Styela clava: one gene and its partner. The protein of the gene in region 1 binds, or shares a complex with, the protein of each later gene. Links are inferred from orthologs where the notes say so. Each region holds a gene or a part of one and is shown in the gene's direction. Other genes may lie near its edges.

Evidence for each region.
Region 2: nucleosome-remodeling factor subunit BPTF-like (region 1) and inorganic pyrophosphatase-like share a complex: the UniProt entries of both Drosophila melanogaster proteins name them as parts of the NURF complex. The link is inferred for Styela clava from reciprocal best matches to the Drosophila melanogaster genes E(bx) and Nurf-38.

The regions. Positions count from the first base shown.
Region 1 is NC_135262.1:1,332,776-1,341,759, reverse strand, and holds the start of nucleosome-remodeling factor subunit BPTF-like, read left to right. Parts: upstream 1-3,998; 5' UTR 3,999-4,105; coding exon 4,106-4,257; intron 4,258-6,008; coding exon 6,009-6,065; intron 6,066-7,428; coding exon 7,429-7,561; intron 7,562-8,217; coding exon 8,218-8,323; intron 8,324-8,984. UniProt on the Drosophila melanogaster protein: Histone-binding component of NURF (nucleosome remodeling factor), a complex which catalyzes ATP-dependent nucleosome sliding and facilitates transcription of chromatin.
Region 2 is NC_135256.1:11,804,390-11,812,967, forward strand, and holds inorganic pyrophosphatase-like, read left to right. Parts: upstream 1-4,313; 5' UTR 4,314-4,507; coding exon 4,508-5,458; 3' UTR 5,459-5,763; downstream 5,764-8,578. Other genes in the region: uncharacterized protein LOC120327500, read right to left, coding at 6,423-6,869, 7,154-7,209, 7,308-7,361, 7,525-8,578. UniProt on the Drosophila melanogaster protein: Component of NURF (nucleosome remodeling factor), a complex which catalyzes ATP-dependent nucleosome sliding and facilitates transcription of chromatin.

The DNA.
Region 1 (8,984 bases):
GCGGGACGCCTCCAAAGACACGACCCCGTAGCTGTGATCCTGTAATTTTACAGTTTCCAATTTTACTACATAGGCCTGAATTTAAAGCGATCCCGGCTGTCTTTCATTGACCATATTGTCATCGAGAGTTCATGCGCATATTCTCTGTCCAAATATCGGGTTCAGTTGGAAAAATAGAAAGGAATAGACGCTAACGATACAAAATTACAAATGATCCAAATTAACTTTTTCGCCCAAGCATGCTTTTCTGTAGATAACACCTTCAAAAAGACGTTGTTCAATGTTGCATTCGCGTGAACGTCCGAACAGGACCAATTAGAACTGATTTTACATATAACAACGAAACAAACAAAATAACGCATTCACCTTCAGTAAGTAGGCTAGCGTTGCGCTACACAGCAATAACGGTAACGTGAACATGTCCGTGTATTAGGCTGGATGACTGAATGCCAAAGCGGGACTTAGATGTCATTATTAGGATTCGCATTTCGGCACATGCACCGACACATAATTATTATTCCACGTGTTTCGCAATCTTCATTGTAAAAGTAAGTTTAGCCCGTGAATATTACTTTCTCGTGTTCATGTATACTGTTTAGTATTTTTTTCCACTTGTGTGAGTGTAAGTGAATGGGCACAAACGCTGGTTACAACGTTCGCTATAAACATTTCTTTAGGTTTTGCCCAAGTTCCCGGTCTTTCTGTCGCCACTGTCTCTGTATTCTCTCTGTATCTCTATGTTGTATACGAAAGATCGAAATAAAATTGTATTGTATAAACACAATAAATAAAATATTTAATCATATTTGGTTAAGTTTAATAAAATAATTTAAATTTCCCGGTGCATTTAGCAACTCGGCGCGGCTACAATCAGCGCTTGCTTGTTTTGCTTAATGGTTAATACACATATATACACGTAAATATAACATTATTACCATAGTACAGTGGTTCTAAAATAGTGGGCGCGCCTCACAAGGGGCGTGAAGCTAATTTTAAAAAATATATTTGTTAGATTTGATCTTATCCGCCTCATTTTGGATATTTACTTTCTATCCACGTATTTTCAACGTGTTTCGCTCTACTATCTGTTATTTGTAGCTTATTGTTATCTAGTTATTTTTGAGGTGGGGTGCGAGACTTGACAAACTCTAAAAAGGGGGCGCGGCTCAAAAAGTTTATAGTATGTAGCAGTAATATCCCTACACCTCCCTAATGTTGAGGTATGACACCACACTTTAATTCTGAACATAAATAAAAATGTATTTGAATATTCAGAAAGTGGCTCATATGCCGGTGAAGATGATTAGTCAAACACATAACACATTTATATAAGCTACAAATAATTTTATTACTAATAACAAAATATCTACCACCCCTTTATTTTGAAACACCCATCTCAAACGAAAAGCTGGGGAAAATACTGGTATGTAGGCTGTAGATTAGTCAGTGGGGTAGTTATCGAGAAAGGGTGTGGATTAAAGAAGCTTGCGATACCTTGAGTAAAAATATTATAAATATCTTGAATTGTCTGTACTCGCCGTTTTGAAGGTGAACGTACATAACGGATTTTTCAATTTGTGAAAAAATAATTGACTACGGACTCGGCAAGAATACGCGAACCTGCTGGTATTGAATCCGAATCTTGAAAATGTGGGAATTCGATATCGAATCTCGTTCCATTCCTAAGTACGATCAAATTATATTTTAAAAAATTAAAATATGTCTCGTTGGGTTATCGTCAAGATACCTAGAGGCGTTGCTATGAACATATGAATACTCAGATTTTCAGAAACACAGTTTGTATTGGTAAATACAAATAGATCAGCATGTAGCAGCATCAACTTATAAACTCCAAAGACTATCGCGCATTTGTGCGCATGTTACAGTTTCATTACTTATGACGTAATAGATATATTTGCGCAAACCATTCTTATGCATGTATTATGACATCATCATGATGCAAAAAAATAAACGTACTTGACTGTAAAAAGTATTTCGTAAATGATAAAGTCTCAGTGTCTGTCAAAGAAATGAATAATGCATTCCACACGATATCAGATTGAATATTATTAGCTAAGTGTTTTAGAAGTACCACAGTCCGAAAGTTCAATACATTCGTGTGTTTTATTTGTGGACCAAGCCTCGTTAAACCGCCTCTTTCGTAGAGTCGTAGACATGTTTACATTGAGAATAATTTCATCGAATTTATTTCTGCGCTCATGTAGAAAACACCAGTTTTGTATTTTTCGTGTGTATGTGCTGCGGTCACATGATATTTTTTAAATGCAATTTTGCGGTATTTGCAGTACGACATGAATTCATGCGCCTTTTCCAGCACCATTTTGCTCTATTCTTGAACGATTTGATGAAAACCGCACATAATCTGGCTTGCTATTAACAATCCTCCCGCCAAACAAGATAGATGAAAACGAATGCCTAAAAACCTCGGATAGCTTCGACAGCGAAGTAAGTATGCAGAGAGATTTAAGATAGTGGTATATATCAGTGACTACTTCTATCTGGCTTTGTTCGGAGCAAAAGGCACGAGTAAGCGTAGTGTTACGTCATTGAGCAAAAAAACTTGGACTGGCTACGCTCTTGTTTGTAGCGACGAGTTGGCAACTTTTTGTCAATTTTTGTCAAAAATGTCGATTGTTCGCGCTTTTTGCTTCGATTAATTATGCAATAACGATATGTAGTGAGCTAGCCTACTTCATATTTGGTAGAATTAGAATCTTGCCGGGGCTAAGGGTTCAGAAGTAAATTTTTTTTCAACATTTTTTCCAAATGCAATTTTTCGGGGTTTGCTGTAAGACATGATTTTATATGCCTTTTCCAACCCCACATTCACCGAAAACCGGACGTTTCTTGGGTTGCTACCAATAATCCTTCCTCCAGACTCTACTAAATGAACCAACCGAGATAGATGAAATTGCGCCTTTGTATACCTTGGATAACTTCGACAGCGAATTCGCTTTAGGCTTTAGAGCTGACATGGACAAGCTACGGCCCGAGGGCCAAATCGGGCCCGTTTGGTAATTCAATATGGCCCGCGGATGCTTTCACAACCAAACTAAAACCTAATTTTCATGTTTTAGTTGAAAACAAAAGTTTAGTTAAAAAACAAGTTAAACTCAATTTTGTCACGAGGTTCATTATTTTACACTTTTATTACACAAATATTATTCATAAAATGTAATTTTTAACGTCACACTTACATGGCCCCGGGTCCAAAAACTTTTCTCACTTCTGTTTGTCACCATATATGTGACCGCTTTTATCTGGCTGACCTGAGTAAGTGTGAGCGTCCTATTAAACCAACCAACCCCCCCCCCCCCCCCCCCGCCCCCAATATTGGACTGTCTACGCTCTTGGTGACAACCAATGCGCTCGGAATTACAGTAACAACATTGGGCCTAAGAAGATTTCTCTTGCATCTATTCAGCTTTTTTTCAATATCAAGACTGCATTATTCAATTGTTATTTTAATTCGACAACAATAACCATTATTGTAACAGAAGTTGGCAATTTTATTGCCGAGCCTTAATCTATAGTACCAATTTAATATTTTGGTGAGCAGGCGTGTGGAATTATATATTATTTTGCTCGATTCAGGCCTTATACTAAATCTATATAATTCCTCATTCTAACTAATGAACACTAACAACGTTTATGATCAATTATTTCCGTTTCATATTATCGGAGGCATGATCGGGTACATTTTAGCTAACACAATATTCGATTTGGGGCAGTTGAGTTTTTCCTGTTTTTTACACTTTTTATTTTTGAGATCCTGCAAAACAGAAAAAACATTAATGATTAAAAGCAGTTGTTATGTAGATCATATTTGCCAAAATAATTTAATAAGCTTTATTTCATATTCAAAAATACGATGAAAACATCGCGAGTTAGGCGAAATTACATTATGGAGCGCTGTGCTGAACTATCGACAAGTATGCTTATCGTTAATTTGCGCATCACGTGACATTCAACGGCGAGGTGCCTGGACGTTTTTTAATGGCGGCGGTCTAGTGACGCAATGGCGATGGAATATACGTGATTTGTCCTTAGTTACCGATATTAATTCAATAATTTTGGGTGGAAAATGGAGAAATTGAAAATGTTTAAGAAAAAGCAACGAAACGGAGAGGGTGAATGGATTAGTTGTTTCGCCGGAGATCAAAAAGTCAACGCGGAATTGAAGAAATTGACAAATTCACCTGGGTGGGTTGCGGCAACCCGAAAGTTGTTGCCAAGGTAAATGATGACGTCACTGTGAGGTCATTAAGAATTGTTGTTGTGTGATGTCACTGTGCTTGCTCAACCGTGTCTTGTGATTTTGATCACCCTTGGACGTGCTTTTTGTCGAAATTTTGAAAATTTTACCCGGCGAGCAAGTCTTACAAACGGCTTTTCCCGGGAAACCATTTTGAACCGAATTTACGCAACGTAGACGCGGGAAAGTTTTTTTTTGACAGTTTGGGTTGCAGACCCCTATTTTTTTTGAAAGGGTTTTGGGATTTCCTAAATGCGGAAGTCAATTGTGTGTTGATTTAATTTTATTAATTATTTTTACCCTTCTTTGAAACAAAGCTAGGGAAGCATTGGGTAGTAAGGCAATACAGCAATAGCTTCATCTGTGTGTGCATTTGTAGACATAAGTACTGATGCACAATAAGCTATTGTCTCACTCAATTTTGCAATTGGTGTTTGTCCTGGCTGTTCTCTCAGGTCAGCAGGTATCTTCTGATACAAATGTCTTGAAGCCTACCGTAACACCTTTAATATTCGTGAACATAAAGCTATTATAGCCAAGTCTTTATAGTTTTAGTTGGTCTTGCTTCTAGTCTAGATGTCTCTTTAAAAAATGATATGAATTGTTCACAAATACTGTTTCTTATTCTTCCTTTATAAAAGTTTGCTCAAATCTTTGTCGTATAAATACACCCGGCTAAATTATTTACATCAGGGTACAAATGGCAATGGCTGAAATTTCATAAAATTATGCTGACGAATTATCTGCCAGTAAATGCAGTTCAACACTAGACACAAAACATTTGATTTCAATTTGATTAATAAAGAGGCAATTCCATATATGTAATGAATTTCAAAATATAATAGGAAAATTCTGCGCAATGTACCCTCTGGAGTATAGTTCGAAGTCGAAATGTTTCTGCAGGATAGAAGACTGAATTATTTTTGCATTTCACTAAATATTGTTCTATAAAAGCAATAACCTAATTTTTAATTCGCTAAAAAAAAATAAAGAGTTTGTAAAAAAATTGGAATTGACCTAACAATCCCAGTTAAAGTTGTTAATTAAACACTTTGTGTGGTAAATGTGTTGGCGAATTTAAATTCTGAAAATCAACATTGAAAATATGAGAAAAATATGCTTAAAAATAGCGCATGATTGTCACCAAGTATATTCATGTCGGAAATAAGTGAAGCACAACTGGTGTATAGCAAAACGATTTAATTTGCCGAAGTTTCGAATTTCTATTCAAAAAAAGTGCTTAAAAAGTTGTTCTTCAGTATGCTTTTATAATTGTCCGAAAAGACTTGTTTGACATTTATTTAATTCTATATATCGGCTTGGTCGGCAAATCAATCGCGAATTCATGCCATTATAGAATATATCTGATCTTATTTATATATATACAGGGTGTCCTTAAAGTCTTGAAATTTTTTAAAGGGAATTTGTCGATACCATGTATTGTTTTGACCCTCACAGATGTATTGAATGAAGTAAAAATACCTGAACAATTACTGATTAAAAATAACAAACATAGTTAAGATATATTGAGAACTGACTTCATAACAGAATTAAAATGGTGAAGGGACTTTATGGACACTCTGTATAGGGAACCAGTGGTTTCTGTCTGGCAACTTTTCCCACAACTTACAAAGAAATATTATTCATTCTTACTCACTCGTAACATTATTCGTACTCTTTCTGCTTCAAGTTGTTGTTGTTTGATTTTTAATACCTATCATTTATTTTTTAGCAACAAAAGTCCAGGAAGCAGTCGAGCATCAACACCTTCAAGTCTATCAACAAACAGGTAAAAAAACTGATGAGTCAGCATTTTAAACATGTGTTCACCCCGAATAAGGCCCTGTATAAGCATTTACTGAATATATTTTCGGGAAGGCTGACACCTTTCTAGTTCGGCATTGGGTATTTATTACATTTAGGGTGGCGAGGTTGTAGGCATGGGTTTAAAACCAAGATAATTAATCCGCAACCCCCTCAACACATTTGAGCCCCACACTCTTTCATGCTGTACCAGGTGCGTAGCCAGAGGGGGTGAAGGGAGCATCCTTTTGAAACGTAAAAAAGGCATTTTTAGCTTTCAGACTCTCAAGATTCATTAAAAGCCGCTTATTCTGGCCTCCGACCGGACCTGCTAGCTCATGCTGTCTAACTTGGCAATCAGAAAATCCAGAGCCCCCCCCTCCCCCCCTTTTGAAAATTCGTAGATACGCCTATGGGCTACAGTACAAAATGATTTGGATTCTGGGTATATAAAACAGTTAAAATTGAACATAATTAATGCCATACTACAATTTTCGTTTTAATAATTTATAGATAAAATTCTGAATTCTTGAAATCTACTTAATAAATTTTATTTGAACCTCTTTGCTCCAAAGTAGGCTTTAGACAAGTAGCTAACAATATGTCAGTATCTACTTTGTGTTTAGAATAGCCCGACTCGTTTATTCCACCCTGAGTGAGGTATAGATCATTGGTTTTGAGTCTGAGATATGTTTTGACACCAAAGAGCCCAATGTTTATATATCGGGCATTATATTTTGCTGCAAAATGATCCACCTGGACAAAAATATTCAAAGTTATTTGGAAGAATAATCCGATATACCTCCCCAAATAAAAAACAAGAACACTTCTGAAAACCTTTGTAAAAAAAACAAACAATCTGAGCTATCTTGTGGGTGCAATACATTGGGAGCGAATATGTGGTTTTCCATCTTTTAGAATTGTATTACCCCATCATGTACGAGTATCTGCTTGTCTTGAGTCTTGTTCAGAGTGAAACAATGAAAACTTTAAGCTATTTTGCGATTGAGTTTAATTTTAGCACGGGGTTCATTGTTTTCCACTTTTACTTTTGTAACACTGTAAATATTGTTCATAAAATGTATCTTTTTATGTCACACTCACATGGCCCCCTAGCCTAGGTGGGCAAATTTTTTGGCCCCGAGTCTAGATGTATTTGATGGGAAAGAAATTCATAATCGACCAGTTGTCATGTGAACCACTCTGTGTATCTTGGAGTTTTGCGTCTAATTATCCCATTTGAATTTATATATGTGCGATTAGAAAACATATCTCTAACCTGATCGTAATCGCATTTAAATTTGAAAAATAAACTTTCAAATAATGTTTATTTTTCTTTCAAACTTCAGCAAATCTTCCAAAAAATTAAAGAACAAGAAAAAAGACAAAGAATCAAAAAATGAGAAGAAAAAATTTAAAATGGTTTTGGAGAAAGATGAAGAATTCGAAATTGATTATGTGTCTCCTGAAGAGGATGAAGAGGTGGGTGTGTCAGAGGCGTGGCTTAGAAAGATATGGGTGTGGCCTAAAATGTGGGTGGGGTAGAGGCATGTGTACTGTGTTGAATTGCAAATATGTGTGACATAGGCATATTTACCTATTATTGGGGTGTCTGAGGAGGTTGGTGTGTTAGGAGTCTGGACATAATTTACTCCTCTTTTGACAATGTTGTACTCCAATTGGGTGTGACATAGGTGTGTCCGCTATAGAGGGCTGATCTTCATACCTTTCACATATCGACAAAAATTTTTACTTTAAACAACATCGTGGCATAGATGTGCCAACTCTATTATGTATGATTATGTATCGCCTGTGTAGGAAAGGGTGGGTGTGTCAGAGGCGTGGCTTAGAAAAAAATGGGTGTGTTATGGCTGTGCCCTAAAATGTGGGTGGAGTAGAACCATTTTTTGCTGTAGCGTTATTCTAGCAGCTTATTTTGTATATTAACAATATTTTTGACAATATTTTGCCACAAATAGTGTGGTAAGGGCATGTCTCAATAAATGGGCGTGCCATAGGTGTGTTCACTCTCCTAGTTAAATTTAAATTGCGAACAGTTTTCACTCTTACTGTAGAGTGAATCAACTTGATGTGCTTGGAGTCATGTTTTTGTTGAAAATTTAATTTTTTTGACTCAGGCCACCACTGAAGACTCAGATGTTGACAGCAAAGGACTAAACTCGGATGATTCTGATCATGATTTTAGTTTTGATGAAGCAGAAGAAGATGATGTCTCCTCATTGGGTAAGAAAGTGGGTGTGTCGGGGGTGTGATGTATTCTGACTTGGGAATAGAATAATCTTTATTTTAAAGGTGTCAGTGGTTGACCAAATTGTCACTCAGATAAATGGCATGGTGAAAAAGGTTTTTACCAAGAGATGATCATTTTCTATCAAGTATTTTTTCCAACCAGTCAAAAGCACAAATTACAAGAAAATGATACTTTACACAGTTTAACTGGGTATAACCATGTGTTAAATTAATCTTATTGCGTTAGGTTAATATACATTAGGAAAGAGGTTTTTACTACCCATGACGATTATTAAAGGTGAAAACTAATCGGCAACTATCAGTTAGATCAATTAAAACATGGGTGTGCAACAGGTGGTCTGCCTGATCACTTTGATAAATCCATGATAAAGTCATGATCAGTCATCTGTGACCGATGACGTCACAGGTCATGCTCAGCCATCTTAGAGAATGCTAGTTGCCAGAAATACAATAAATATACAGCTAACACAACAGGCGGCTTGCGAGCCACAACCCGGCCCGCCAAGCCGTTCAGTGTGACGGCCCTTGTCAACACTCAGATTTTTCCCCATCGAGCATTAAATCCTAATCTGACAGTTTATGTTTGGAATGGGTAAAAATACATAATGTTTTTTGTTTTTATCACTGTGTTGAA
Region 2 (8,578 bases), on another chromosome or scaffold:
CCAGCACATGATCTAAAAAAAAAATTCTGATGCTTATTCTATGTATAAAATGGTTAGGTAGGCCTTAGAATGTTATCGAGTTACGCAAACCCAATAACGTATACGAACATAATATAAACTGTCATTGATAAAAAAGGCGAAAATGAAAAATTTGTTCATCACATACAGACTATTGAAACTGTACGCTGGACTACTCAGTAAGAAGAAAATTAATACACGTCTGCACTTGCTTTTCAAAAAATCAAATTAGGGCAGGGTAAAATACAATTTGCAGAATTTAGACTAGTTTATGTCTGTCAGTTGAACTGCAATGTAGTAGCACAAATTGATAGAAGTTTAATGAACACTTTTCTGATGTGGCAACAAGTTTCACAACCATGACAAATCCACCTCTCATATCTCAGAAAACATTCCACCATGTTTTTAGTCGACAGCTTAGAACGGATTTTCATATCAGGTCGAAAGAAAGGGTAATGAGAAGACTTTATCTGATAAAGGCCTACGTTTCCCCATCTGGTTACCAGTCCATGTCGAACATAAGCAGTGGTGTGTCAAACTTTCGCGCTACTCGGGGCGAGATTCTGATAATGCTGCCCCTTAAAAGTTATACCTCGGGTTACCATATTTTTTGGACTTCAAAGCGGGACGCCTCCAAAGACACGACCTCTTAGCTGTGATCCTGTAACTTTACAGTTTCCGATTTTACTACATAGGCCTACATTTTAAGGCCATCCCGGCTGTCTTCATTGACCATATTGTCATCGAGAATTCATGCGCATATTCTATATCGGATTCAGTTCGAAAAATAGAAAGGATTAGACGCTAACGATACAAATGATCCGAATTTAGATTTTTCTATGTACAGCAAAAGGAATAAAGCATAATGAAATAGTCTGCCGTTTTCAAGCATTGGGAATTTACTTATTCACTAAGCATGCTTTTCTGTAGATAACACTTTCTCAAGAAGACGTTGCTCAATGTTATATTCACGTGAACGTTCGAACAGGACCAATTGGAATTGATTTTACATGTGATACGTTCGCTAACATAACGGAACAAATAAAATAACGCATTCACCTTCAGTAAGTAGACTAGCGTTGCGCTACACGGCAACAACAGTAACGAGAACATGTTCGTGTATTATGCTGGATGGCAGAACGCAAAAGCGGGACTTTTGGTTGACTTGTCGGGACGGCGGGACAAGACGCTAAAAAGCGGGACTGTCGCGCCTAAAGCGGGACGTATGGTAAGCCTAGTTATACCTAACTTCAAAAATAATTATTATAGATGTTGTTATACACGAGAATAAATATATAAGTTAAAGGCCAAGTGAGAGAAAAATGCTTGTAATAGTATCATTTAAATGCCAAGTGAGAGAAAAATGCTTGTAATAGTATCATTTAAATCAGGGGTGTGCAAAGTGCGGCCCGCGAGGGAAAATTGTGCGGCCCGCGGAGTAATGCCAATTTTGAATGGTGTGCGGCCAGCTAAACTAGTTTTTATATTAGTTTGATATGGTGTCCTTTGCGTTGCAAAGCCTATATTCGAGTCCAATTTATTATCTATGCCTATGACGTTACAACGTCCAAACAGCGAAGCAGACAACGCGATGCAGCGAACAATTTAAAGGAAAATGCGGAGAAGACCCTAATGAATTTGTATGAACGGGCAATTGAAGATTAGGCAAATGGAAAGCAGTTTGAAAAAATTTAATATTAAGAGATACAAAAGCAAAATGAGTTTTGTTTCCAGTTTATCAGTTGATTTTGTTCAAATCTAAAACTAGAATAAGATTTAACAGCAAATTATTTGGAAATGAATCTTGGCGTATTTTACCGAAAACATCTCAACCAAGATAACTTTGCAAATTTGAAAAAAGTCATGGCTTCAAATATGGCACTTTTCGGCTACATATTTTATTCTAAAATGGGCGTCATATCGAATTGCCCGCACTTCCATTAAAGCAAATTTGGATAAAACTAGTCCGGAAAAGAATCCAGCAGCAAATTTCTCACTGAATTCGTCAACATTGGGTGTGACAATATATTTGAATTACAGTTTTAAGAAATTTATGCGTTTCAACCTATCATTTCTGTATGGACCCTAATGATGACGACATGAGATCAATAACAAAAAAGACACTATTTTGTGCCTGCAACTAATAGAAAGCATATGTTAAATGAAGGTGCGGCCCGCGGGTTTACCCAGTTATTGATATTTGGCCCGCCTGTAAAAAAGATTCCCCACCCCTGATTTAAATCATCAAACTGAGCAACAAACTCACTCCTATAACGTGCTGCTCGGGTCGGTTTCCCCTTTGCCCCCTCCCGACACGCCACTGACCATAAGACTTTTAACCAGTTACTTTTTCAGGACGCATGTACTTTTATATAGTGGATGTCAAATAACCATCCAGAAATCCTCTTGTATAATATTTCCATTAGATGTATTCGTTTTTGCAAACTCAAGGTTAATTTGACAAACTGTAGAACTTATGTCAGGAGTAGTTAGCCGACCCATAAGTATTGGCAAGCGTCTTGTAATATCTGCAGATTACAATTTTACATTGCAATAAACGTTACATTGCATAACCGTTTTCAATATTGATAACTACAAAAACGAAATAGGCTGGATGTAAGAAACACGTTACGTGCGTCCATGTCGACCATATCTCGAATATGTGAACAATTAATGGCCATCAAACAAATAAAGATATCTCATTAAATAGCATCGCGTCGTTTTTAGTACATTGTCAACCTAAATTCACTAATGCGTATAATGTATTGCATAGGCTTAGTTCGTTTGTATAAAGGTGGTCCGCCAAATGTTTGGTCATGCTTTACCGGTCCGTCACTTGAAAAAGGTTGCCGACCACTGTGTTGAAGGAACACACGGATAATATTCAGTATATGCTTGTACAGAAATCAGTTTATAGCATATAATTTCGAATAAATACTTTTCATATCTCAAAAGTTGCTTGTTCGGGCCTATTTCAGAGAGAAGTTTTGAATAAACACCATCATGCTTTTGTACCGTAGAGTAGTGTTCCGCAACCGGTGTGCCGCGAGACGATGCCAGGTGTGCCGCACAGGAATTGCAACTTTTCTCTTCTTTTTCAATTTATTTTTATCTTTTGTTAATTTTACGTCAGTCTACTTCTCTACTAAAATGAACTTGCTTTTACGTTAGCTTGAGCGACACCAAATCAAATTCCTGACTTCCCCACTATACATTTGTGACGTAACGAGGAGTACCCCTATATGTCAAGTAGATTGCAATCATTGTCGAGGGTAAAACATAGCGCGTGTAGTAATCGAATATAAATAAACCTGAAATGTGAGTTTGCAGAATCATTGCCCATAGTGGTCTTTGATTAAAAAAGTCAAGGAACGTTAAAGTTTAGCAAAATGGATAAATTTTTAAAAAGAACATCCAAAACATCTGATACTGAGCAACATATTGTACCTAGCACAAGCAACGTTATAAAAAAAACTTATCAAAAGGAAATACAGGGAAGATTACATAAACTATGGATTTTCTTGCTGTGGTAACGGAGATGCTCCAAATTCAGTCTGCGTTATTTGTGGGGAGCAACTTTCAAATTAGGCAATGGCTCCGAGTAAACTGATGCGCCACTTAAATACAAATCACGGTTTCGTGTGAAATTTGGCGAAAAAGCACTCAAATCTAATGGAGCAAAGATATGACAAGTACTGGTACTTTTTCGCAATTACCAATGAGCGATACGACTGGATCCGAAATCCTTTATCAACTAGTGCTGAAATGTCAACAAAAGAATTACCCCTGCGTATTCGAGAAAATTTCTTTGAAGTAAGAAATGACAGAACGTTAAGACTCAAATTCAGTGAAATTCCACTCGATGTGTTTTGGATTTCAATAAAAAGAAGACTATAAGCGCACATTTCCAATGCAGCTATTGAAGTATTGCTCCATTTTTGCATAACTTATATGTGCGAACAAAGCTTTTCCTTTTTATTACTGATCAAAAACGATGAACGATCCTACATAAATGATGTTGACGGCGAACTTCGAGTTGCTCTTTCACGTATTGATCCTAATATAGAGCGATTGTGCTCTATATACAACCACAAATTTCTCATTGAAATATGAACATACAAAGTTACACTTTTTTTTTTGTTTGTTGTGGTGTGCCGTCGAATTTGGTAAGTTTTATAAGTGTGCCGCAAGGTAAAAAAGGTTGCGGAGCACTGGCGTAGAGCGACAGACGACACTGATGTACAATAGATGTTTAGTTTGAGCTCTGCACGGACTTTGCTCGAGTAACTGGTACATCAAGTTTGATTGAGTCATTCACACCGTTTGCGGCGCCGGCCACGTTTTCGTTGCGGCCGCGTCTCTAAATCGCGGAATTGTCTTTGATTGTTTAGTGGAGGGCGGGGTGATCACTTTTTGTTTGTCAAGGCATAAGTTACGGTAAATCTGCGTAGCAGGCTTTTTATAATAATATACGACTGTACACCGGTCTATGTTGTCTTTCGTGCATAGAGGATTTTGCCGAGTAATTTCGAATAATTCACCCAATATATCAAGAATCATGTCTTATGTCGCTGAAGAAAGAGGGCGTCCAAACACGCTTGATTATAGAATATACTATAAAAACAGCGAGGGGCAATACATCTCCCCTTTGCATGACATTCCATGGCTGGTTTCGGAAAGCCCACGAGTGTACAATATGGTCTGTGAGGTTCCAAGATGGACGAACAGCAAGATGGAAATTGCAACAAAAGAGAGTCTAAATCCAATTAAACAAGATGTGAAAAAGGGGAAACTCCGATATGTTGCTAATTGCTTTCCACACAGAGGATATATTTGGAATTATGGAGCAATTCCACAGACTTGGGAAAACCCAGGACACAAAGACAAGAATACAGGTCAGTGTGGTGACAATGACCCAATTGATGTTTGTGAAATTGGATCAAAAATCTGCAAGCGTGGTGAAGTTATTCAAGTAAAGGTTGTTGGTGTTCTTGCCATGATTGATGAAGGAGAAACTGACTGGAAAGTGATAGGAATCAACGTTAACGATGAAGACGCTCCAAAAATAAATTCAATTGGAGATGTTGAGAAGATGAAACCTGGATACTTGGATGCCACTCGTGAATGGTTTAAAATTTACAAGATACCAGATGGAAAACCAGCGAACTGTTTTGCATTTAATGGAGATTATAAAGACCGTGAATTCGCTGAAGAAACAATTGCTGAAACTCATAGGTTCTGGGTTGAAAGTCATTCCGGAACCTTGAAATGTGATTTTGCAATGGAAAACATTTGCTGCAGTGACAGCAAATTCAAAATTGATGGTAAAGCCGCAACTAAAATCCTAGAAGCTGCACCGGCACTTGACGAAGCAGAAGAGGTTACTGATGAAAAAGCTGAGAAGTGGTACTACACCAGTTTGCTTCAAGGTCAACTTTAATTAGCCAAAGAAATTTACTTTCTGCGTGGAACTGCTGCTACTATCTATGATTAAGCAATTTATGGAAGTTGTAGAACAAGGCCAGGTGCACGCTAAATAATTCAATATCTACGCAATGCACTTTTTACCTTTTGTTCAATTCATGAAAAACGAAGTCTGGTAAATACAGATATCTCGCTTTGGTGATTGTCATATTATTTGTTAAAATCGAAAGTTCATCTTTATATTTTTGATTTCTGTATGTCGGATTCTTGTAGACAAATTGGAACATGTGTTTCTGTTTTGAATAAAAGTAATTAAAGCAATCCAAGAGTTTGCTATTCCTTGATAAGCTATCGGAACTCGACCACCTTTGGACGACTGCTTGACTTACACAGGCTTGTGCAACCCTAACCCATTCTTTATAGTTAAATTTTTTTTAACTTGCTCGAACATGTTTCATGACATTCCTGTCAGGGTGTGTAAAAACACCTGATTGGAATGCACCCAGTCAAGACAAAAACCCTGGTCTAATAGTTGGGTCTTTACGTGATGATTTCCCAATAGTATAAAAGCCTCGGGTGTTTGCAAAAAGATGTATAGTATTAGGTGCCCACATCAGAGTGAATACTATTCGATACACTTTCACTGCTTCGATCCATAACACGCGATTCTATTACATTTCATCCCTTTTGCCACTGCTTTGATGGACCTTACAAGCCTCGGGTGTTTGCAAAAAGATGTATAGTATTAGGTGCCCACATCAGAGTGAATACTATTCGATACACTTTCACTGCTTCGATCCATAACACGCGATTCTATTACATTTCATCCCTTTTGCCACTGCTTTGATGGACCTTACTTACTATGCTATCACAATATTGTATAGATGCCATTGCCCTAAAGGACAGTGTATTGGCGCTTTATCTACACTCATAAATACATTTTTCATGAACAAACACACCCTTTATATTATTAACTTAGTTTAGTCCAATGCTATAGACTTCATTTTATGAATGTCAATGTAGTTTATTTTCCCTTTTGCTGGATCTTCTTCAAATCCCAAGCCTTTTGCTGCATTGCCCTCTTTTCTTTTTTGTAAATTAAATGAAAGTGTCTGGTTATATTGGGTCTCAAGGTTATTAGCAAGTTTTTTAGATTCATTTTCATCTGGGGCCATTGTCGAAAATGTTTTGTTATTGTTTTGTAATGTACCCCAAAGTTTCCTTCCTTGTGGTGGTTTCCAAACTCCAGTTAATTTACTGAGCAAGCTTTGACAATTTGTTTGAGTTAATGAGGTTTCTGCTGAATCTTTGGATTTAGCACAACCAAGTAATCTGGCAAATTTATCCTGCTGAGCAGATGATGCTAGTTTGGCCGTCTTCCATTGTCCAAGCTTATCAGTATCTAGATGTTCTTCACCTGTGACAATCTGCAGAGACATGACAATATTTTTACATTTGATATTATTAGGTCTGAAAACTAAAGGTTCTCATCTTTTATCAGGGAGAAGGTGGTATAATATGGGGATAAGATAATTATAAGTGGTATTGCAGTTTCCAAGTGCAAGCCAATAACATAGAATTGGTCGTCATTTTCATTATTTTGATTTGTCACAGCAGCTTTCTTAATGAATATTGATACACAATTTTCTCTGATATTTGCAAAGATATATCTGTAAGATAGAAGGTCAAGAAAAGCTAATGTGATACATACTTGGTGCTGACCATCTTTTTTCGGTTTGTCAAGAACATCATTTCCAGAAATATGACCTAAAATAATGAAGTATTTTATTGTATACCAACGTTAAAAATGCCTAACACTATATGTTCGTTAGGCAAATACTTGAAAAAAAACTTAGTCAATTTACCATATTTTGATTTCTTCTTCTTATGATTCACATCATTTTCAACAGAAGATGAATCTATTTTAAAATAGTTTTATCAAACTTATTCTCCTGAAAATTATTTAGTTAAAAAATGATAATGACTGGATATTTTATATTGCCACTGACAACAGGATAGAATTTTTTCATATCACAAATACTTAAATATATTCTTAATAAACAATCATTTTTAATCACTTACCTTTCATGTTCGCAACAACTGATGCTTCAGATGATGTTATTTCTTTGTGCATAGCTTTTTTCCGTTTCTTTTTCTTAACTGGAAAATCAGCTGAAGTATCATCTTGCGTGATTGCACTGCTTTTTCTTTTACGCTTGTTATTTTTCAGTTCATCGCTTACTGATATATTTGATTCATTTTGCGGGGACGTACTCTTACTGTCCAGCTCTTCCATCCCAGTTTTACTGGCAAGAGTTTCATTCACACCCAAAATAATTAGGTTGCTTGAGGTATTTTCTACGTCCTTTTTATTTTTCTTCTTTTTCCTCCGTTTTGTTGTATTTTCTAATGTTATAGATGTTGAAGTGTTTTTTGTTTCCTTTAATTTTGACTTTTTCTTGTCATTGAAACTCTCATTGACAGTAACAATCTTTTTACTTTTCTTCCTCTTCTTATTTTCAACAGTCTTTTCAACTTCAGTTGTAACGATGCCTATATCATTCCCCTCATTTAAGTTCTTTTTTGTTTTTTTCTTCTTTTTGACAGGCTTTTTCTCTATAGCAATTTCAGCATAAGGTATGTTACTATCCATGGCTGTGTTATTGACTCCAATTATATCAATTTCTACACCATTCTCCATTTCTTTTAACTTTCTTTTACTTTTTTTTTTCTTTTTGATGGATTTCTTAATGGAAATTTCAGCCTCAGTCATTTTACCATCAAGGGTAGTAGTTTTCTCATTATTATTCGCATTGGTTTCCACTTCCATTATGTCATTTTCTACATCTTTCAATTTCTTTTTTTCCCTCTTTTTGATGGGTTTCTCAATAGGTGTTTCAGTCATCTTATTATCATGAACCTTCTCCACTTTAATGTTTAGTTTCTTCGTATCTAATTTCTTTGTAACAACCAGGCCCACAGAAACTTCATTTTCACTTTTGATAGTGCTTTTGTCTATACATTTTTTATGTTTTTCCTTTTTTGGCTTGGATACTTTGTTTTTCTTGCTACTTTTTTCCTTGTTATTTTTCTGCACGCATTCAGCATCTAAATCTCCAGTTTGTTTGAGCTGCAT